3 linked regions of the Oreochromis niloticus genome follow. The protein of the gene in region 1 purifies or fractionates together with the protein of each later gene. This does not show direct contact. Links are inferred from orthologs where the notes say so. Each region holds a gene or a part of one and is shown on either strand. Other genes may lie near its edges.

Region 1 (8,237 bases):
AGGCAGTCTGCCTATAACGTGTGTAAGACTAGGCACGTGAGGTGTTGCTATCAAACTGCAGCTGATAGCAGTTTTGTCGGCTTGCAGAATTAATGTCAGTTTGAGGCGGGCACGCTCTACTTCCTGTCGTTGGTTTCAAACAATTGTATCAAGCCAAGTGTAACCGTAGGAGCGCTCAAGCTGTGTTTCTGGGAATGCTGCCATGGCCAAGCTGGTGCACGGCTGGCAGGCCCACTTAGACACGCATTTAAACACTCTCTCTCTGTCTCGCGCACAAACACACACAGGCTCTTACGCTGGTTATAGCATACTCATGGGGACCCTTTGCCTAAACCCTGTACATACACCCTACATCATATGCTCAACTTCAACCATTTTCCAACCTTGAGCTAATGTTAACTTAGAAGGAGAAATTGCCCTCACTTTCCATGAAAGCAAAGCAATGAAAAACACAAACAAAAACACCTGCTCACCAGAGGAGCTCAAACTCTGAGCTTAACGCCCAGCACTGAAAACAAAGTCGACATCTAAATAACGGGATGTTGCGTTAACAAAGAAGCCTGACTCTAAAGCATCTCTGGTGTCAAGCGGAGGACTTCTGCTGTGCTCACAGTTTGGGACTTTAAAAAGATACTTTCAATTAGAGGCAGAAAAAACGACGGAGGCACGCTGCGTCTGTAATTACCGCGCAATAGATGAATCATCATCCCAAGGAACAAGCTCACAGAACATCTCTTCTTAAGTGAGACTTAACAAAAAAAAAAAAAACTTTCACCAAACTCATTAAAAAGTTTGCGTGTGCTCTGTTACCTTTCTTCTATTGTTTGTAGTTCTCTGGCTGCCAACAAGCTGCAGCTGGTTTAGCCAATTTCTTCCCCCTGCTTTTAACGTATTTATGTGTGGAGCTGTGAGTAATGGCTCAGGGGGGGGGAAATCCACTAAGGTGAAGAGGAGGCAGGATGGATGCCCTAACCCTTCTTAATTAACTATTCATGAGACAATAGTCGCTCTCTATTTAGCTAATTGGGCCATAGCTTCTAAGAAAAAAAGAAGTTTGCAGAAAAGTGCCAAAAAGTAACTTTGGATGTCTCAGTGTTGAAGTCCAGGCATGTTTTTCCCACTCCGATCAGTCAAAAATTCTGTGCACAGGCAATTATTCCACAAAATTTTAATTGTTTTTTTTTTCAGACTATAATAAAACTTTTTGTAGGCATGGAAAGTATTTAATTTTGAAGTCATAAGCTTGACTGCCAGAAAATGCTTTTGCTGAATGCTTCTAGGGTTAAACTAGAGGCCTCAAAAGTCAACTGCCAGATCAAACCAGTCTGTTTGCTTCCAGGAAATACAAACCCAGAAAATAAAGGTGTACCCACTCCCCTCCTCCCCTTACATTAAAGCTCTTTTCAGCTTCACATTGAGAAAAGCTTTTAGGTGGCAAGCCTTGCTAAGTCTGTGAATGACACAAATGGCAAGCTTTTTTTTTGGTTCCCAAACCTGAGGACGTCTTCCACAATAAAGCCCTTTGACCTGGCCAGCTCGGTCAGAAAGCTTCTCCTGCTGCGGCCCATTTTCCTCTCCACCAGGTACAGCCTGACATCCTCAAACTTCACCCCTTCACGCCTGGGAGCGCTTGCTTCGGCCGGCCTTGACCTCTTCCTCGCGCGAGGCACAATAGGAGCGTGGAACATCTCTGAGATGAGCTCTCCAAAGTATTTCTGCACCTCTAGGAATCGCCGCTTTTGTGAGTTTGTGTCGGTATTGTTGTGCGCCACTTAACTTCCATCCAGGAAAAAAAAAGAAACACCTACTTTGGTAATGGCGCAGTTGTTTTTTTCACTTGTGTCTCTCTCTCTCTCTTTTTTTTTTTAATATTTGGGAGCAGAGTTGGTGAGAGCTGGCAGACAGGAAAAGCCTCTGGCAACAGGTGCTGAGGATTTGGTGTTTACCAAAAACCACCTGCCAAGATCGAGTGATTGAGGATGTGAGCGAGAGAAAAAATAATATTTTTTTTTCTTTTTTTTGAAAAACACTGTGCTGACGTGGTATTACTCATTTCCAGTGAAGTATTTTCAACCAACACACACTTGGAGGAAGTAAACAATTACTAATCCAGTAGCTGCTGCTTCTTCTTCTTCTTCTTCTTAAAAAGCTGCTCATAAAGTTTTCATGGACTTTAAATTCTGCTCCTCTCGACTGCCAGCGAGGCCTCTCGCTCCTGGGAGACGCCTGAATTCTGGTCACCTCACAAACCCCTCACAGCTGTCCTGCCATGTCCAGTTCGTCTCGCCACTCACCGTCTCATTATGTCCGGACCAAGCCTGCACCATCTGCTCTGCCGCTTTAATTAGCTTACTGCCTAAAAATGAGAGCCTTTGTGGGCATTTCCCCGGAGAGCCCGCAAGCTCGTGCACGGCCTTTGCACACACTCAGGTACTGTATACGCAAGCCGTTGATGATTAGGAGCGTTTATCCGGGGAATACGGCTGCATATGGATCGGACAGAAATGCAGACTGAAAAAAGATTTAATCAGCTGAATTCATCTATTCCTTTTGTTTCCCAAGAGGTAATTACAGCATGTCTCCTGTTGTTATGATTCCTGTGCTATGGCGGTCAGGAATGTAAAAGAAAAGGTTTCAGCAGGTCTTTGCTGTAATTATCTGCAATAATGGATCTGCTTCAGTAGACCAAACAGCAATGATTTGTTGATTTAGGCGAGGGTGATGAAATCATTACAGGCCTTTATTCTACATCTAATTACCACAGCCTCTGTTCATTTCGTCACTTTAATAAGCACACCTTGTTTCTGTCTGCTACACAGAAATTATTACACAGATCTCATTACCGCGGAGTTCTGGGGGTTAACGGGTGTCACGGGGCAGACGCCACTAATTGTTTGACTGTTTACCCCCACCCATCCGCCATCCCAATCAGTCAGTTGTATATGAGGGTGCTGGCCCCCATCCAAACGTGAGACCGATGAAATTCTATCACTAAGACGAATGGCTCTCACACTGCCAGCAGCAATCGTTGCACGAGCAATGAATCCAATTTCTCTTCCACCTTTCTTGAGTAGCTCTGTGGGTGCAAGAGAAAATTGTCTGATAATTACAATTATGGTGCATATTCAGTTCCATTTAGAAAGGACAAAGTGACAGTCATATCTTGATTTTTTTTTTTAGTTTATTTCTTTTTTTGTGCCCTGAGGCCATTTACTACAACTTTGAAGATGAAAATAATGACATTTATGTTGTGTATGTTTTAAAATTAGTACAACTTTAAGAGTTGTGTTGGGGTTTTATAGTCTCGTTAGACTATAATAAGTCATTACAAGCACACAAATATTCAAACAACGCATGCTGTGCTCAAAGAAATTTCACGTACAATACTGGAATCAAAAGAAATACAGCCAACCTTTGGCAACTTTTACTTAACAGTAAAGTTTCAAGATACCAGTTTGACATGATGCACTTTGTGGTGACATGTGCATTGTTAGAACCATCAGAAGATGGGTGCATGCATGGACAGCGTATACAGTAATACCCAGGTAGCCTTTGGCCTTTGAACGATGCTCAGTTGACACTAAAGGGTCCAAAGAGTACCAGGAAAATATTCCCCACAACATTGCACTACCACCCTGAGCCCTTGATACAAGGCAGGATGGGATACATGCTCCATTTAGCTTAAAGCTCGTTTTAACTTTGTCCATTTGTTCTTTCTGCTAAGACAACAGTATAGTCAGTTTACCAGAATTTTTTAACTACACTGTTCTGCTGCTCCTAAAAAAATGTTAAAAATGGTTCAAACATACTGAAAAAGCTACACAAGTCTTTAAAAGCTCAAGAGCAGTGCGTATGGAGCTTCCTGGAATGGGTTTTGATGGCCGAGCAGCTGCATCCAAGCCTTATATTACCAAACCCAATGCAAACCGTCAGATGCAGTGGCACAAAGATCGCCACCACTGGAATCTAGAGCAGTGGACAGATGTTCTCTGAAGTGATGAATCACGTATCTCCATCTGGCAATCTGAAGGACGAGTCTGGGTTTGGTGGTCAGCTGTTATAGCTGCAAACCCTATGGTTTAAAAATAGGATGTTACTGAAGTTCATATGCATGTGAAGGCAGATGAACAAATATGGCAATACAGTGTATCATGCAAATAGCAAATATTAGCAGCAGGCTCTATTAAGTTACATTCCACCACTTGTTCTGCCCGTGTCCTCATCTGATATCACTTTGCATTGCAAGAGTAACTGCACTCTAGTCAAATGGCATTGGTAGGATGGCAAGTAGTGATGTCTGACCTGAAAGTATCATTTTAAAAAAATATATATATATATATATGTATATATATATATATATGTGAAAAACGTAATTAGGTTAACTTAAACTTATCAAAGTTTCTAAAAAAAGCTGAATGAAGGAATGCACTCTATATATGGCCATCTTTCCTCAGAGAATAATGCAACCTAAAGAGCCTCATGAGTGAAATACGATCACCCCCTGAAATCAAAATAAACGCAGAGTGGATTACATCCTTTAACCATAAATGAAGCAGGCATGAGCTAGGATGTAAAAATTAAGTCCCACTGTTATGAAACTTTTGTTTCAGAAGTATTTATATAGAACGAGGAAGTCCCCGCTTCCCTATTTGTTAATGGCTCATTGTATTCTATGGGACAATTTTAAAATTTTAAGAAGACATGAATTGCCACACCACTTATGGGTTAAGAGAGAGAGAGAGAGAGAGACGGGAAACGTGTGTTGGTTATAATGAGGTGACCTCTCTGTGTGTACTTCTCCCTGCTGAAGCTGCGCTAGAGCCACAGTGCGTGACGGGTCAGTCTATTACTGTACTTCCAAAAGCACACTCGTGCTCAGAGGTTCCCTGTAGAGTCCGAAATGAACCTGCCGTCCAGAGAGGAGTGCGAGGGGTGGGACCAGGCAAAAGTAGCCTCCTTACTGTATAAGGTGAGTCCACTGGAAATGGGAGAGATGCTTGTGTTTTGTCATAGTTTAAATATTCACCACTTCATTCTGAGGGTCATGTATAATGTTAATGTTAATGCAAATTAGCAGCTAAAGTGTTAAAGTAAGACCAGGACATTAGATGACTGGAAGTTAAATGTTTGGTTGTTTCAATAAGTGTGTGTAATTAGCAATTTAAAAGTAGTGAATGGATATGTTTCCTCTCCTCAGAATAATATGCAAGAATGCGCCGTCACCGTAAACAGACTGAAAATTAATGGACAGAGATTTCTGGTGAGTCTTTCCTCATTTGTACCTGAATAATCCAGAAATGGCTCTTTCTCCCACGCAGTTACATAATCTACTAATCCACCCAGGATCATATCAGGGTTGTGGTTGTGTTCAGTTTGTTATTCTAATTAAAATGGTCAAATCCTGACGAGCAGTTGTTATTATTGTGATTATGACATTAACAGCAGCAGAATAATTACATTTCCTCGAGCTGTTTGTGCCATTTTGCTAGAAAACACACACACACACAAAGAATCAGTTGAGGCTGGTTTATTTGTAAAACTCTCACTCTCTCTGTTACTCTGGCAGACATTTTTTTATTATTTTCTTGTTAAAATGTCACTGCTTGACTTGACTGACGAACACACTTTTACTATGAATCTAAAAGCACGCTTCAAGTTGACAAACAGGAGAGTTCACAGGATACGAAACATGACTAAAGCCGGTTGCGTTACTTTCCACACTTGCTCTTTGTGTAAACTGTGGCCCTGCTAATGTGGAAGTCTGTGTATCTGTTGTAACTTCTGCTTTGGTTTCACCCTCGCTGCTCTGTCTCCATCATCCACACCGTGTGTACAGTCTCTGAGGCCTTTCTCATAGTTACCGAGAAGCAGGCTGCCAAAATGAGCGCAGCTGAGTGCCCCTGTTCGGGAGAGAGTAAGGAGTGTGAAATGAGTCTCATGGCTAATAAAGCTGTAATCCCCACTTACTTAAGTAAGTATCTCTAAATCTGCTTCAGTCATGAGGGGGAACGCTGTTTAAAGAGGATTTTATGCAGCAAATAACTGAAGTGAGGGTTTATAACTCCCTAATATTTGGTGTTTTGGGGATCTTTATAATACTTCAGTAAAAACCTCCCACACACTGGCAAGCCTGAAGAAGCTTTCATTCATATGCATCTTTTAAGTGGACGCTTATGCACACTTCTTGCCACGCTCTAAATTAGAGCAGCGGCCTAGTCGCCTATTCATTATTCAATGACCCTGAGCTAACTCCACTTTAGGTGGGATATTGCATCACTGAAGTGTTTGGCCTGCATAGTTAAAAAAAAAAAAAGATGCGGATTTTTATCAGTCAAATTGATTAATACTTCAGAGCAGAGGCTTTGATGTGCACATTAACAGCACCGATCTGAAATATACATATACATACAGTATGTGTATCGATTGATGGATCTCCTTAGCTACGGATCCAGCCAGTGCACGCTTAAGTAAACCCATGCTTTTATTGAATGGCTGCCCAGCTTTTTAGTTTAACTAGCTTCAAGGTTGCGGTGTCTGACAGACATTCCCCAGTCAAACTTTTAAGCTTTTTTTTTGGTCTAGTTGATTATTTTTTTTTATTCAGTATTTTTACTGCAGCAAAGGATTTTGATCTATAACCTAAAATCCCCAACCAGCTTCTCGATGGATCGCTTTTGGATGAAATTTCCTTCTGCTGTTCGGCGTCCTCAGAGGCTGAATCATGCTGACTTTTGCAAACCTCTAACTTTTTCTCCAGTGCCGCAAGAGGAGGTTGACATTTGTGGTTCAGAGCAAAGTAGCTCAGCAACAACTGGGTGCACGGGCATGAAATTTGCAGCAAATATTCTGTGTCAATAGAGGACTTTGTTTTGCTCTTGACTTTATAATTTGCTCAAACAGGCAGGCTGGCATTTTTAACTATTATGTAGCATATGTAAGCAATTTGCACAAATAATAGACTGTATATAATGCAAAATGTTATATAATCTGCTATTTTAAGCTCTATAGTACAGATATTTGTGGTTTGATTACCTTCCGGTTGTTCCTCCAATCAAATGCTCCCATCAGTATCAGCTTGTTAGCATTGCTACTGGAATATATTAGCAAGCTGATGTTAGGCTGTTATGACTGTATATAAAATATGGACACCTGCTAGTTTGTGAAGGCTTTAAGCATGTTGGCTGTCACAGTGAAGTGGGATGTGATGAGCAAGAAAACTCTGGGCACTGCTGTCAACCACAAGGTGGCCCCATCCTGAAGCAGTATTGGCTCTACAAGTAGCCATAATTTAGAAAAAGTCCATGATGTAACTGAGAAGATTTCTAACTCACAAGTTATACTACAGCACAGTCAGGAAACTGTTTTCTGGAATGATTAGTGGAATCCTTTTCCTATAGACAACCTGTCTTTGTCATACAACCAGAGAGGTTGCCCCCTACTGGTAATGATAAAGAATGCAGAAGCTTCACCTTTCAGATCTGGAAAGTTACAGAAGAGTTATGACACTAAATGTTCACTGGTGTTTATGAGCATGCTTACAGAAAGTGTATAAAGTTGTCTGTGTTTGACAGAATAACTTCATAGATACATATATTTGGAAAATATCTGAAAAAAGTCTTTACTGTAAAGACATTTGTGTCTTTGAGAAAGGTTTTGTTTGGATTTTCAGTTGACGAATTCCAGCAGATGGTGCTCTGTTACTTTCTCTACTACAAGTGACGCTGCTCATTGCAACTATCCAGTTCCTCTTCTATTTTTGACAAACATCCTGAAATTGCCCCTGGCAGTGTAATGTCACTTCCTTTTATTTTACAAGAGCAACCGTTTTAAAGACTCAGTGGTTGAATCATCAGTGTGCTTCTGAAAAACCGACCCGCCTGCAAATATACGTTTTTGTATTGTTTGAAGGGGCTGTGTTTGCCTGTGTTAACCTAAAATCACATTTGACAACAACTGCAGTGTTGTTAACACTCCAGTGACATCACTGAAAGGACTAATTATTAATAAAAGGAGAATTTTTAAAGGCATTGTTTGCCTCTTCTATGGGTTTTTAAAATCCAGCAAAGAAGAGGAAACATTTGTAATAAGTTATTTTTGACTCATCCGGAGCTCAGCGTGTGTCCAGAAGCAGAGCAGGGCCTGCACTTTGGTATCTGAATGTCATCCAGCGAGCATGCTTCTGCTGAGCATTGCCTTTGGCTTATTTTACATATTCATGTAATGTACAGTGGCTGGAG
Region 2 (7,930 bases), on another chromosome or scaffold:
CATCACACATAGGTGTATGGAATCAAAAAGAGGTGCAGCAATGCCTTAAAAAGAATTCTATATTTAATCATTCTTGCTATACCATGAACGCTTTTCAATGCAAATATAAATAAGACTACTTTGTCATAAACAGCAATAATCAACTGCTTCTCCAGTAAATATATCATGTCACAATATGAAGCCAACTGCATCACTCATATCTGCAGCTTTAGAGAGCCATTAGTGACAATAGTCAAGCAGTACAAGAAATCCTGTCTGTGACAGGGAAGGGCATCAGGATTTTATCATTATCAACACAATTTATGAGGGTTGTCACATTATTAGAATTTAAAGTTTGATACCAATACCCAGGAAAGCACACGATTCCATTTCCAGGGCAAAAGTATCATAGCATGCTGCTAAAATGGACACTGAATGTGAATGGGGACAGGACAATGGCCAAGAACACAAAAATGAACTGCCCTGATGGATTCTCATGGTCTTGTCAAAACCACCGGACTTAGACAAAAACTTTTTTTTTGTCAGAATACACAATATAAATAGACAGAATACACAAAGTTTTTTTTTTTTTTTTTTAAAGTGCTACCTTGATTAACTACTATGTTAAACAGGAACTCGGTCAATCCTATGCCCATAGAACGAGAGCTGTGTGGAATTTGTAATGTAATATAATGCAAGTAAGTAAACCTTTTTTATACAGCACCTTTCACGGGTCAAAAACCACAAAATACTTTACAATAAAAACAGGCATGAACAAAAATACAGAAGATTAAAACATAAAACAGCATACAGCCTGAAACTAGTTAAAAGCCAGTCTAAATAAATCAGTCTTCAGCTGCTTCTTAAAAGAATCAACAAAACAGCGCAAACATGCAGGTAAGGCATTCCACAATCCGGGGGCCACAGCTCTAAAGGATTTATCCCCTCTGGTCTTAAAGTGAGTTTGTGGGATCATTAACAGTCTTTGACTGGAAGATCTCAGACTGCAAGAAGAGAAAGGACTAAAACGTTTAAATGAATTCTAAAACGAACCAGTAGCCAACGTAAAGAGATTAAAACTAGAGTAATGTGCAGTCTCTTTCATATGTTGGTTTAAAGCCTAGCAGCAGCACTCTGTACCGACTGGAGACGGTTACGTAAACACATAAACAGACTGTTACACTAGCCAAGACGAGCTGAAATAAAGGCATGAGTACTCATCTTTAATTCAGCTTTTGACACAAGACTTCAAAGCTTAGAAATATTTCTTAGTTGAAAAAACAAAACAGTTTCAGATTAATCCATGAGAATGGCTCTCGAAAGACATGGATAAATCAAAAAAAAAAAAAAAAAAATCACACCAAGGTTTCTGAGTTTGGATGCTGAGGGATGACTTCAAGTGTGGTAGCTTTAACAAGCAATCTATAACCAACAGTTATAGATTAGTATTAGAGAAATGCTACACTGTCTCTATGTAGCTTTAAGTGCTTCACTGTAGATAAAGCTAGCTAGGTTTCAGGTATTCATTTCCCTACTACTTTCTACACTCACATATACAGTATTTTATAAAACTGAATTATAATAAATGTGTAATTGTGTACATATTTTTCAGTTAACAAGTACAAAATAAAAAATGCATAACAAATGATGTAAAAATTTGTATTGGCTACTGAAAAAGGGCCTCCAATGGTGTAGCATTTTACACATTTGCCTGGCAAGCGAAAAATTGCTTTCGATTTGATTGGGGTTGCATCCAGAAAAAACTGTGCCAAATCAAGCATGTGCTGCTACCTTCTGTGGCAACCCCTTGTCACAAGGGAACAACCAAAATTAGATCTCTCCATCACAGACACCATCTGACGGTTGTTAGTATACGGTCAGGTGTATGGTGACAATATAGTATGTAAGGTATGAGATGATGTTCTAAAAAAGTAAACAGCAGGCTGTTATTTCTATTTGTGATAAAAAATAAATAGTCAATACCTGGATTCTCCACTGCTGTTGCTTACACTTTCATCCTCACTGCGTCCAGCCATGCTGAAGTCAAAAATATATAGACTTCAACCTGGCAACCTGTAGTATTATGGTCCACGTGTTTAACCTGTGAGCAAAAATACACGTAAGTTTAAAAAGAACTGTATGCAACAAATACTTGGGGTTATATTATTACTTGTTGAAACCAGAATAATATCAGGAATATAATTTCACAACAACATGCATTAAGATATCTGATTAGGTGGAGCTTGATAAAACTCAGATCCACATGGCAAAGTACAACAGAGCTTAGTGTACCATCCGTGACTGACTACAACCTATGCATCAAAGCTTGTCCTGTGAACCATTCAAGCAGGGACGCAAATATACTTTCGATAAATTAGTTTCAATTGAAACCATTTCAAGTCATCTATCAGGTCTGTGGTTTCATCCTAAGAGAAGTGAACCGCGTCTGCAACACAGATAAACGTCTTGAGATATGACTATTTCAAGTTAAAACTAGAAAAGTCTGATCTGTGTGGATGGCTGTCTGTCATGCTACTTGGCTGAACGTCATTTATCCCACACCGCAGAGGCCTATCAGGCCTGCACTGTACCAGCGTGTTTTCATGTACACATGAAGCTCCGTGTGTACCCCAAGAAGATGAAAAACTAAATAAATCAATAAAAATAAAATCAGAATAAATGGTTTCAGGACACCCTCAAGTCATCACTTGGGTACACTATCACTATGGTTACAGTTTAGCAAGTAGCTCAAGCTAACTAGCTATTACCGGCTAACGATGGCAGTATTAGCGATTGGCGGGCAGGAGTAGCCTATGCAGACATAGCCAGCTATAAAGAACAAATATACAGAATAAGATTCAGCACAAAACCTGTAATCACCTGATTACCTGTAACCACTTCGCTATGTTTATCTAGTTGCAGTTTGCTAGCCGCTTTATGTTGTGCTATTGTTTTCTGGATTTAAAAATCCTACACGTGACAACTGTTAACTTTATACCTTTACGGTATGCACCGCAACCAAGTAGCTCAAACTGTACATGCCTTTGGTACTTTGTTTCATTTTGTGTCAGTGTGGGTGAAATAAACATGAGGAGAGCTGGCTCACAGGCCATCACAAGGGCTGTCAAGGCAAACAGCATTAGCTAACGCTATGAAGCACGAGGCTAGCACAGAAGCTAACAAAATGAGAAAACTTTGCCCTAATAGGAAACCAGTAGAATGATAACTTTAGAGTTACAGATGATACTCAAAGTTAATCGTCAATAATATTTAATTATGTAAATATATGCACAATCAGTGGATTGGGATGAACAGTTATACAAATTTAGTATTCATCATTAAACCCACAAAACCAAATTAGCTAACCAACTTCACCCTCTCCCATCTTGTTTTCATTCGCTGTTCACTTCTCGCGGCTTTTACAACATCAACATGCAACGTTAGCTTACTTTTCGCTAGCGTAAGGACTAAGTAACTCAATGATGTGTGTTACCTGTCGTTAGTTTATGTTACTCGTGAAACTCCGATAAAATATTTGTCTAAACCAGCCTTTCCAGTCCAGGAGTCCTTTCTTCTTTTATTTAACTGGCGAGCTAGCAGCTGCTGGTAGCTAATGCTACCGTAAACTTGCTAGCTATCTCCCGGTTAGGGAGCGCAGCCCGAAAGACTCCGGTCGATAGAACTGGTAGAATGTTGGTTTTCCTCTTCTTAACCAAAGTCCCGTTTGCCGTTTTAGAAGTTACAAAATACAGTGCCCGTTGATAAGCAGCGACTGTAGAAAGCTAGCATTTCAATCCAGTGTCTTTCCACAACCGGCCTCCGCCATGACGCCGTAGGGTTCACTTCTCCAGGAAACCCCGGACAGTGACGTAACGACTCTGCTCCTTACTCCTCCAGTGTAGCAGCAGGAAACGTCGGTTTCTCATAAGTCGTCTTTATCGTTATCTGAACAAATGGAAATAAAGCTAGTCTGACAATTTAGGTCATCGTAACAGCAAGGTTATACATATACAAGGTCGTACACAAAAGTCCGTCTTGTTTACGGAATTACGATAGCCGTCAACCATAGTTTCTGTAGTTTGAAACGTACAACCCTTGCACTTGCCGGTTTGTGGTCTTCTCCAGACCGTATGTGTGTTTAGTCCACTTAACGTGCGTTCTCTGCTTATGGCGAGTGTTCCTTATATATAAGAAATGCATTTTGAAAAACAAGTGCATGATTACAATACAAACTCACACGTACAGTCACCTGGGCTTTCAGAAACAATAGCTATTTAGAATAGAAAGTATTTTAAATAAGCATGCCTGTTTTAGAGTCAGTGACCGCCGCACGCGCGCTATCTGAAAAACTATCCCAAAGCAGCAGAAAATTAAACCCTTATGTAGCAACATCACCACCTGCTGGCGACATTGTCTACTGCATGCTGAATGGACCTCATTTTACTTCTGTAACAAATTTGACATTAAACAGATATGAATTGGTCGATGGTGCATACACTGATAGAAATATGACGGATAGGCCTGTTAAGTCTGACAACAAGATGATCTTCTTCAGGGAATCAGGGGGCATTAGGTCGGCAGAATCACCGCATGTGTTTGTGGGTATGGACCAATAGGAGGTGATCCAGGGATGGCGAAGCTCCGGAAGCTCATATTCTGCATCTGTAAATATTTCAAAGCAGTAAGGATGCTACTGATGAGCTCCGAGGATACCACATTTGTGTCCACAGATCACCATCAAATTTATCCAGCATAGTAATGTTAAAATTATAGGCGACCAAACAGAATAAGAGCAATGGGGTGACTGATGGATAAGATAAACGGAGTGTGCTCCAGAGGGTGAGTATATGACCGCAAATATCGATTCATTTCGCCGCATCTTTGTAACAGCTTCATTTAGATAGAATTTATATGACAGAAATGACATGAGTTGACCTGATGATAATGTCCCAGGACAGGAATTCAACCGTGCAAATGATGCGGATAAAATGTGACACAGAGGCGTGTCCCAAAAGATCACTGGAGTGAACCCTTCTGTTGCAGGGGCAAGCATATTATTCGTTATGTTCTGGCGCACATGTGAGGATATTTTTATGATTAAAAGGCACGGATCACAGTTTAGCTTTAGCAGAACCCACGTTACAAATGCAAAAATGGAGCTTGTGTTTACCAGTAACACAGAAGTGAACTGTGGGCTCCTCCACTGCGCATGATTTGCTGCTTCTCTGTATTCTCTTTCTGTAATCCGTTTATACCACAGTATGACACAGTTGTGTCTTTATGGCCCACTTGGGATTTTTTCTGTTCTGTTGTGTGTGTGTGTGTGTGCGCACGTGTGTGTGTGTGTGCACGTGTGTGTGTGTGTGTGTGTGTGTGTGTATGTTACAGATACAGAAGTAACAAAATAAGGGAAATTTTGTGGAGAATACTGACAAGAGTCATAGTAAGAACACTTGTACGGTAAGAATCATATTGATGTTGATATTGATCATATTGTGGGTACAATTTACATTAATTGTCATTTCTCCATTTTATATGGTCATGTTTCTCCTGTTTTTGCCTTAATTACAAGGGTTTTTTTTTTTTTGCCTTACAGATGTAATAAATTAAGATTCTTTCTTTCACCTTTACAACTGCATGTTCTGGTCTTTGCGATTTAGTTTTATTCTATGGAATTGAAGGTGTGGATCAGTTTTGGATGAGGTGGAGTTAGATTAGGTAAATCAGTTAACACCTATAATTTTTTTAAGTATTTAAAATCAAGTTGTGAGATAGTATAATAAGGTTGGGAATAAATGATCAACACTGCTCTTAAGAAACACTGTTCTTTGATCTGTTTCTGAAGGTAAAATGATTATAAGAAAAAATAATTTGGTAAATAATAATGATCATTTAAATATGCAGCATACAGATGCCTGAACAGAAAAGGGAAGAAGTGTCTTTAAGACATGGTGCAACACACCATTTGAGAATGTTTAATTATAGAAAACATGAACTTGATGGAAACAAAAAGGAGAACATAATTGCAACATGAAATAAGGCAGCTGTACTGCAGTGTGAACATAGGCTGAAGAACTCAATAAGCATTTATGCCATATACAAAGTTAAGCACACCAACTCTTGTACTCGTCCATCACAGTACAGTTTAAAATAATATACAGAAAAGTACACTATAGTACACCATCAGAGGAAACGAGTGGTAGACACTATTGATATTTAAAGCAGAGACCTGCTGCCAGTTAATTTTAAATTTATTTTTATTTTTATCTGACCAACCTGAAGAACATGAGTATGTCACTGTTCAGATGTACCGGTTAAGCATTAGTATTTTAGACAGATATTAAACATTTAAAGGTTTAGGCTGAGCTTTGTTTTTTGGTATTTAGAGATCATATAACCATGATACTGAGTTTTTGTTGAGCATGTTAAGCTAATCGAGTGTGCACTATTACTTTTTCAGTGTAGTGCTAACGTGTATGATGGTTTTTAATCGAAAGAGTATCCATCATTATTCTAGCATATATGAGGTTTCTGCAATGTTGTGATGGTGTGGCTCTCCACAAGGTGGAGCCATATGGTATATAGGTAAATGAAGTCTTCCAGTAGTGATGCTTATGTTAATAGAATTTTGATAATCAAACTTTCAAAATAAAACCTTCCAACTGTTACTAAAATTAAAGGTGGTCAGAATCCATACTAAAGCATGTATGTGTATGTCACTACATTTCAGAAGGTACTGGTGAAGTCACGTTTGTATTACCTGACCGTTTTGAATGGATAAATGCAAGAACTTAAACGTTACTCTTAATATTTAATGTTTAATTTACACCCAGAAGGCAATAATTCAAAGTTAGGTAAAAACAGCTGAGAATGTGAAGTCAGTTCACTTCCTCCACAGTGGTAAGACACATAAGTTTGACATAGTTGCAATTAGGTTACAGTACAAAGACCACTAAATGTAAAATTGACATCATTGGTTGAGATTTTTTTCCATTCCCCTGAGCATCAACTCCAAAGGAACGTTAGCCACCTAACCCTGAAGTTAAAGTTAAATCTGCATGAAACAACTTTAGCTTGAAATGTCAGTGTTACACAATCTCTTTCATGCCTTTCTCTCTTTTACTTTTACTCAGACCCAGTCACAGAGATTACTGCAGTAGGATCAAGTGATTCAGATGATACTCAAATAAAAAAAAGAGTTTTTTCTATACTTGTAACATCACAGTTTTATTTTTAAATAAAATCCTTCTTTATTTGGCTATAACTATCTGAAATGGTAAAAGCAACCCAAAACCAAAATGAGCCTTTTCTTGATGAAAAAAATAATGTCTGCTCATTTTAATCATGACTGGTATTTTTTCAATAACTTCAAAAACACTCTTGAATTTCCTTTGTACTCCATTAGTTAGATACATTCTGATATGTGCTATCAAATTATAAAGAACGAAAGAAAAAAAAGAAGCAGAGATAAAGATCATTATGATAAATAAAGGTACTAAGTACTAAAAGAGTAGTTAGCTCTGTGGTATGATTTTCATGCATAACTGTTTTCAAATCATTTTGGTGACCTCCCAGTTACAGTCTAGTAGAGCATCAAATTTATTCAGAATTTAGTCATGTTTGCAAAGGTTTTTACTGTAATGTACTGTAAAGTTTTCATTGTGTGTAAACCATAACCCATTAACAGTCTGTGATATAACTCTACATAGCAAAGAGTTTTATAACCTCATAACCTCATAAATTTACATCCTTGTTTAATAATGTTTTAAACTATAGGCATATATTTCATTCTGTTCCAATTAAAATCCACAGGTCAAACAGGATAGTTAAACTAGCCCATTTTAGAGATGAGAGAAATATAAATATAAGTAGTAGGTGAGAAACTTGGTGTGATCACACTAAACTTCTGAAAGGAAATGTTTTAAATTGTCTTTACAAAGTTACAGAACCA
Region 3 (8,091 bases), on another chromosome or scaffold:
TAGGTCAACTGACCCTTTCAGACCTTTTCGCTTCTGCTTAACAGAAGAGGAAACAGTCAGGTAAGTCCAAGATAAAGACCCAAGTGTTTATTTAGTGGCTCAAGGTTGCCAGCCAACATTAATATGAAACAAACCTTTCTTCAGTTCTATATACATACCGCTTTGTCTGTGTCAAAGTCATAGTAGAATATTTTTTCTGCTGTGAGAACAAACAATCTCTCTTTGTAGTTTAAAGGTGAGGTCTTCTTCTTCTGTTGAGATCTTTTAATGAAGACTTGTTCCAGTATAGAGTCTGACATGATTCAATCAGGATTCAGCTACACTGGAACAAGTGACAAATGGATACGTTTAAAAAGACTAATCATGGCGTAACACAGGGCTTCTCCACTAAACAGCATGTTCTCACCCCGACTATAACAGCATCCGTAATTCTGCTGAGAGCTGTGACTGGCTCACCCATTGTGACTGTGCTCAGCATTATAATAAAGCCTCATGTTTTGCTGAACTTTACACTTATTCAGTGTTTTCATTTCCTTTGAAAAGCGTTTTAAAGAATGTAATACCTACCCACTGTTCATAGAGTTGGAGCAGTGCCACTACAACAGGTGAGAGTGGAGATCTGGAAAGAGATGAACAGGCATGCAGTGTTAGCGCATATCATTGTGTGATTAGGTGTAGTTTGCATAAGCCCTGCTTTTCCTGACAGCAACATCCTCGGTTTCCAACATTTGCCTCTGTGGCACATCTGTTTCTCTTAGCTGTTACATCCTGGTCATCTGGATACAGTATTTAACTCGTCTTTGCCTTTGGAATGAATATCAAGTGCCTGATTTGTTGATCCAGAAACCTGGCTCAATACAGTAGTATAGTTCTTTCATTTTATATAACTATACAGTCTAGACATGATCCATTTTATTTCTAAATAAAATTTGTTTGCTGGCAAACATATCATGTAATATATCACTCTTACTATCAGAAGGCTTCCTTCCCCTCGGGCACATTTCTACATTTTACCACGCACATAAGATAAGTAGGCAAATGAAAAAGGCTCTCTTTTTGCTTTATGGCAGTGTAGTGTGTCTTGTTTGCAGCACCTCCTAACCACCAGCGCTGAAATGAAACTTGCACCTCCAAAACAAGACACATTGATAGAATCTGAGTGAAGGGGAGCATACAATAATTTCTCTTTGTGGAAATTAGTAACATAGCAACATTAACAGCCTGATATTTTAGGGGAAATAAAGATAGCTGAAACTTAATTCAGCATAAATAGTGTTGCAGTGACGGTACACGCAGAAAATCACGACAACTGATGGAAACAAAGCTGAAAGATATTGATGTTGATGATAGGTTGGGAAGCAAAGTCTTCTTTGGTTCTGACCAATGCAGAACTAAAACTAAAATCTCACCAAATGACCAGAAGAAAAGCCAAGGTATTCCCATCACCACATTGTTCTAAAAGTGCAACAAAAGTGCACCAATGCAGGGAAGTTATTTGTTACCGGTTACCGCTCAAATGTGAACTATCAAATTCTCAGACTCACCCTCGTTACACGGCCGAATGCTCACTGTGTGTCAGTTTCTGTCAGATGTGTGCGCACTTCAACTCAGCCTATTTTCAGCTTAGAGAGAGAGAGAGAGAGAGAGAGAGAGAGAGAACTTCCTTCTATCATCTCAACTGTAACTGTAGCACTACGAGAAGCTTCTGTTGCTCTCTGCTAACGAAGTCTGACATTTCTTCACACTCGAGTGACACTACCTGCTGGTGTTGTTTGTGCCTTCATGAGCAGACAGAGGTGTTCCCTATTCTGTGAAACATTGTTTACTCATTCCTCATTTAACACGACCCGTGTTTTCTCACATCACTAACTCGAGTGAAGGTCAATAAACTCTGAGGGCGCACGCCCAAAACCGTGATATGTGCCTCTAAATAAGTGAAGCCTTTTGACTGAACTGTGCAGCTACTAATGCATCATGGCTACTCAGAGATTTTTTTTTTTTTTTTTGCCTTTTCTGCTGGGAGTTGACTCATGGTGGCTGACACAGACAAAGTCATAGGGAAGTTGCATCAGTATTGCGTTGCAATATGAAGAGAGAAGAAACCCTGTGGCCTGCACCTCTTCTTACCTGACAGTATCTCTTTTTTAAATGTTGCTGTGCATGATTTGGACATTTGAAAAGCATGTAATCTACCAGTTTTTGCAGGTTCCGTTTGTAATTTATTCTTCTGTGTGTGACCTGGACTGTATAATCTAAAACAGGCCAAATGTGTCACTACACCCTCTGTGCGAAAGGCAATTAAGTAGCAAATAAATCATTATAAATTATCATTATTGGCATTATTGTTTTTTTATTCTAAAGTGCACAAGTTTTGACTGCGTGATGTCTGATGTGAATGACACAGCAGACACAAGCTTATCATGAAAGACTAATGTTAACAGGAACCTGTAAAGATGCTGTGTTTCCTGATGTTTCCTGGTAGATAAGTGCTATGTGCAATAAAATGCGCACTTGTGTATGAGTGTTTGCGTGTGTCTCTGTGTGAGCATACGTAACAAAGAAAGAAAAAAAAGTGAGTAATGTCACAAGACTGATTCTAACCGCAAAGAATACTCAGGCATATTAAAATACCACATAAGTTTAACATTGTGGTAACTTGTGAGAACTATTTGTCAGAATACGAGAATTTCCCATGATGCACATGTAAGTATTAAAAATGATAATACAATCTATGACAGTTCAATCCAAGCTATCTGCCATGAAGAGTCAGTAACTGTGTGAAAGTACAACCTGATTAGTGATAGTGATTTGCTATACATTGAACCACTTTTCTGCTACAAAGAAAGCACTTTGATAAATAATGTCAGTGTATGCACATAAAGGATTATCAGCACTCTGTCAGCGCACAACAGTACATTTATGTCCAGAAAACATTCAAAACTTTATAAATCTTTAGACTTTAAGCTGAAAATGTCACTTGTGGACTCATAATTTCATTGGTTATTTCACAGGATTTGCATACAAACGAAATTACATTGGTTTTCAGTTGAGTACTTGCACTAATCTATGCTACTTTTGGCCTCGGCCTTTCAGATGAAGTGTACTCAAAGGTTGCTTCTCTCATTTATAGTTCTGTGAACAAAGTGCGACTAAAAATACCTCCTTTAGAAACAAGTGCTGCTTACCCAGATGTCGAAAAATGACACACATCAGACAACTGCAGATGCTGAGGCTTGAAGAGTGGCATGGACCTTTGCCTCAGTAGCTGGCTTTCCATAAAATGTGTGTTGGTCTGTGATGCAAGAAGCTTAAAACACACCCACAGAGAGGAATCGACAGGGCTTACTTCCCCTTTTTCTTGCTGCTAATTTTCATATCAGCCTTCTGGACAGTTTTGTTGATAAGTGGAAGCGGGCTAAACATTAATGTGAGGCCATATTTGGTTGTTACATATAGTTACACTGTAACCTGAGGGGATTTCTTAGTTTCTCACCTGCTTATTATGTTGTTAAAAGATATTTCAAAATGATAACTTCTGCAGGAATTAAAGCCTACTCACTGTGAGTAAAACGTATAGCTTGTGTTTTAGTATATTACTGAGGCACTGAGTTTTGTCAGGTTTATGCTGTGGACTCCATGGCTGTCACTCTCCTTAAAACTTGGGGTGTTTGCAGTCTTTTTATGGTTTTGGCTTCTTTGCATCTCCGGCCGCTAGGGGGCAGACCTCTCTACGGCTGAGGTCGACTACGGCGACTTTAAGAACTGCTTCCGGCCTCCTTCTTCCTCTTTCCCTCTGCATCGGGTTGCAGCCATGGTATGCTACCATTACACCTAAAACAAATCTAACTCAATCCTGCCGATTAAAGTACAATTTCTGTATTTGATACACCCGGTTATGTTGATAATGTCACGATGTGCGTAACGATGGCGGTATTGGCCATCTTTGGTGTATTTAACGTTGTGATATTGATGGATGCTATCTTGGTGGAGAAACGTCACTTGGTTTTTCTACTCCAACCGGCCTTTCTGTCAGAAGCGAAAAAAACAAAACAAGCTAAACATTAAAATCAATTAACAGCTATGTCAAAAAGTGTTTTGCTTTGTAAAAAGTGTTGGAGCATCACTTGTTTACGCTGTTTTCTTTAAAATAGCGATGCTAACGTGTTAGCTTGCCCCAACACTGCCGGCCACAGTTTAAATGATAAACTCGGTGCTTCTGTGTATTAAGGTCAATTTCGAAAATGATTTAACAAAACTCTTTATAGCTGTGCGCTTTATTTTTGATAAGTGTTGTGAGTTTTATGGCTTGGGCCTGTTGGACGTGGCTAGTTAGTCCGCGTTGTGGTATTTTGTGTATACTGCACGTCTGCTCAAATGTTATTCTCTGTGTTGTGCAGGTGAACGTCCCGAAAACCCGCAGGACCTTCTGCAAGAAGTGCAAGAAGCACCAGCCCCACAAAGTTACCCAGTACAAGAAGGGGAAGGATTCTCTTTATGTACAGGGTGAATATGTTTGTCCTGTATTTAAGGGATGCACTGGTGTCTAACGCCAAAAAAGTGTCTGTATATAAAATATTGACCTGTGATCTGTCAAACACATCTTTTGTAAGTGATATCAAGTCACTATGAGCCAGAAAGAACGTTCCTGTCACAAAATACAAGCAGTTACAAGTTTATTTTTCAGTAGATTTGAGCAAGAGTGTAGAACAAATTGCACCAAATTTAACAGCATCTCTATAAATATATTTTAGGTAGCCAAAAAGGACTGGCTTGATGACGTGTAAAACACAGGGTACAGCTAAGTGTACATATGACAAAGAGTCATAGGGATTCTTGGAAAACAGGTCATTTCTTTATTTTATATATAACTCCGTAAATTCTGCTTACTACATCTACCTACTAATATAAGCAAAGATATAATATATATAATGTCACATATTTTGATAAATCAATCAGATTAGTGTCTTAGCACTTAATATATCTGCAATCTTTTTCCTGTCACAGAAGGGAAATTGGCCCATATTTGCAGACATTTTACAATCTTTTGTTTTGAACCCATGCATCAGTGCATCCTTGCTTTATTTTATTAATTGTTCAAGTATGTGTTGACTAAACTCTAAATGTTTTTCAGGTAAGAGAAGATACGACAGAAAGCAGAGTGGGTATGGTGGTCAATCTAAGCCGATTTTCCGAAAAAAGGTAATCATCGCTTTCTCATTCAGTGCTGTAATAAAAGTGCGTCCTTTTCCAGATTTATATTTTTCTGCTAATTTTGTCACACTTTAAAGTTTGAGATCATCGTCATACTAATTTTTAATATTATAAAAAAATAACCCAAGTAATTAGAAAGCACAGTTTTTACTTTGCCCTGTGTGAAATCATGATTTAAGTGTAATTAGCCACATTTTTGGGGTAGTTGAGTTAAATTTCAATAGCCTCTCCCAGGCGTGAATACTGCCATATCTGTTGATATGAAGAAGTCACTTACTTCAATGTGTTGTAGAGGTTTTAAGTTTTTAAAAATATCAAAAAGCAGCACATCACGCCACAATCTAAGGGAGTCAAGAAACGATGACAAACAAGACATTGATGTTATTAGTGCGAAAAGGGTTGCAATGCATTTCTTTGGCTTTGGAAAGGTGGAGAGAGCCATGATCCACAAATGGAGAAAACTTGGGGACAGTAACGAACCTTCTCAGCAGTGGCTAGCCTATCCAAATTACTCTTAAGGGCACATCTATGGCTCATCAAAGAGGTCACAAAAGATCCCAGAATAACATCTAAAAAACTTCAGGCCTCACTTGCCTCAGTTAAGATCAGAGTTCAAGGTTCAACAGTGTGAAGAGAGTTGGGAAAAATGGCGTCCATGGGAGAGTTTAAAGGTACAAACCATTACTGACCAAATGGTTTCACATTTGTCCCCCCCAAAAACCATCTTGCTTAACTCCAAGACAGAAATATTCTGTGGACTGCCGAGAAAAGAGTTGAAATTTTTGGAAAATGTAAATAATGTTACATCTGGCATAAAACATACAGCATTTGATAAATACATAACAATCGAACATGGTGGCAGACGTGTGATGGTCAGAGGCTGTTTTGCCGCTTTAATTGATGGAAATATGAATTCTGCTCTCTGCCAGAAAATCCTAAAGAAAAAATGTCCAGCCGTCTGTTTGTGCCCTTATGTGTAAGTGCCCTCGGGTTATGCTGCAGGACTGATCCAAAGCACAACAGCAAGCCCTACTCAGATTATCTTTATCTAGTGTTAAAATGCTAAGGTGTGACAAGTTCACAGGAAAAAAATGATTATGAAAAGGGTAAATACTTTCTCACAGCATTGTACTGTTGGATTGATTGTGTTGAGATATGTGAGGGGAAATGACACTCACTGAAATACTGTCACACAGGCTAAGACTACAAAGAAGATTGTGTTGAGGCTCGAGTGTGTGGAGCCCAACTGCAGATCCAAGAGAATGCTGGCCATCAAGAGATGTAAGCACTTCGAGTTGGGTGGTGACAAGAAGAGAAAGGTAAGACTCACATATGTCCCTGGTATTGTAAAGGTTAAAGTTCACTATTCTTTACAACATATTCTTTATATTAACTTTATTTCAGTAGTACTTTTCAGAGTGGGTTTAATCTCTGCTAAAGCTACAGTTTGGTGTCAGAATCATCCCACAGAAATCTGTTATCAAAATATTCTGACTTCTCATATTTGTAGGTAATTATCTTGTTACACATTTAAAATTTAATAACCTCATGTTTATAACCCACTATTAGTTTTTCATGTGACATATTGACATCTGTTGTGTTAATCATGATAAATTACGGAAGTAACGCGGTGACAGCATGATAAAAATGCACAATTTGCATATCAGCTGGTTTTTCACCTAAACATGGATTTCCTGTTCAGAAAAAATAGTTTGTATAAAGCTGTTGTTACACATGCACTGTAGCCTTGCACGCTAAAGATGGATATTGCTAGATATCCAAAGAAGGTGCACGAGAATGCAAATGCCAGATGCAGTTGGATCGGATATGTAATTATCTTGAGCCTATTCACTCTCTAGTCATCCCGTTTCCTGTCAAAATTGTTCGTTCTGGCAATTGTTTAATTTTTCACATGTACATATAAAAATGTGGATTTTAGAATATTTGTCGAAGCTTCTGCCTAGGCAACACTCTTCAAGAGGTGGGAAAAATACCCCCAACAGTTTTTTCCAGTAGTTTGAAAGCGTCTGACACATGCTCTGTGTGTTAGACGAGGGAAAGGGCCACCTCTGACCGTGTCCCGACTCGATTCTGCCCACCCTTTTCCGATGTAATTAGTGAGAAACGGCTTTTGAAATTGAGTTGTGAAAGAGGCATGGCCACATGAGTAAATGCGTCTGCGTGCATTTCACACGCTATAGCAACACAATCGCATTAGGAAATGTTTGTTTGCTGGACTTGATAAATATGCAGCCCATCGTGGATTTTAACTGGAGCATATTTTGCTTTCAGTGACAGATTGTTTTTCTTTTTGTTGTTTTTTGTGGTTAGTGGTAAATTGTATTTGTTTTGATGAGATGGTGACTCTGGGTTGGGTGTTGATTTATTGTGGTGGTTAAAATACGATGCATGAGTTGATCTCATTATATATACTGTCAATACAGTTATAGTTTATTTATTTTTACAAGGTTTGCTGTTGAGCTTCTCCTTTTCTTTATTTTTTCTTAAACATCAATTATTTTTTCTTCCTTCAATACAAGCTCTAATTCATGATTCTCAAATTCATGATTGGCTACCTTTTATTTCAGTTTCAAATCGCAACAACAGTTTCCTCAAGGTGCTTTGGCTCCTGTGTCCCCATGACTCAGTATTCATCTGTTGGGTTACCTCATTAATCAGACTTTACATTTACTCTATTTAATAGCTGCTTACTGTCTTCCTCATCAACAGAACAAAGGTTAAGTCATATCCACTCTGTCTGCATATGTGGCAATACTTTACAACAGGCTGGTAAAGCTGATGAATGTGAAGATACTGGGTTTTATTTAGTCTTAATCAACTACAGTACAAAAGTCAGAATTTAATTATAAATTCATGGCA

Evidence for each region.
Region 2: the proteins of blnk (region 1) and syk purify together in Homo sapiens (affinity purification with western blotting; 3 studies listed by BioGRID and IntAct, with this or other methods). This does not show direct contact. The link is inferred for Oreochromis niloticus from reciprocal best matches to the Homo sapiens genes BLNK and SYK.
Region 3: the proteins of blnk (region 1) and btk purify together in Homo sapiens (affinity purification with western blotting; 5 studies listed by BioGRID and IntAct, with this or other methods). This does not show direct contact. The link is inferred for Oreochromis niloticus from reciprocal best matches to the Homo sapiens genes BLNK and BTK.

What each region holds. Positions count from the first base shown.
Region 1 is NC_031978.2:26,391,203-26,399,439, reverse strand, and holds the start of blnk (B-cell linker protein), read left to right. Parts: upstream 1-4,804; 5' UTR 4,805-4,900; coding exon 4,901-4,969; intron 4,970-5,197; coding exon 5,198-5,260; intron 5,261-8,237. Other genes in the region: dntt (DNA nucleotidylexotransferase), read right to left, coding at 1,495-1,688. UniProt on the Homo sapiens protein: Functions as a central linker protein, downstream of the B-cell receptor (BCR), bridging the SYK kinase to a multitude of signaling pathways and regulating biological outcomes of B-cell function and development.
Region 2 is NC_031972.2:7,913,497-7,921,426, forward strand, and holds the start of syk (tyrosine-protein kinase SYK), read left to right. Parts: upstream 1-4,614; 5' UTR 4,615-4,818; intron 4,819-5,367; 5' UTR 5,368-5,439; intron 5,440-7,930. Other genes in the region: chd1 (chromodomain-helicase-DNA-binding protein 1), read right to left, coding at 1,963-2,015. UniProt on the Homo sapiens protein: Non-receptor tyrosine kinase which mediates signal transduction downstream of a variety of transmembrane receptors including classical immunoreceptors like the B-cell receptor (BCR).
Region 3 is NC_031966.2:17,466,478-17,474,568, forward strand, and holds the start of btk (tyrosine-protein kinase BTK), read right to left. Parts: upstream 3,317-8,091; 5' UTR 3,186-3,316; intron 1,623-3,185; 5' UTR 1,545-1,622; intron 620-1,544; 5' UTR 568-619; intron 323-567; exon of another isoform or gene 318-322; 5' UTR 300-317; coding exon 159-299; intron 34-158; coding exon 1-33. Other genes in the region: rpl36a (large ribosomal subunit protein eL42), read left to right, coding at 3,812-3,814, 4,398-4,503, 5,132-5,199, 6,408-6,530. UniProt on the Homo sapiens protein: Non-receptor tyrosine kinase indispensable for B lymphocyte development, differentiation and signaling. Binding of antigen to the B-cell antigen receptor (BCR) triggers signaling that ultimately leads to B-cell activation.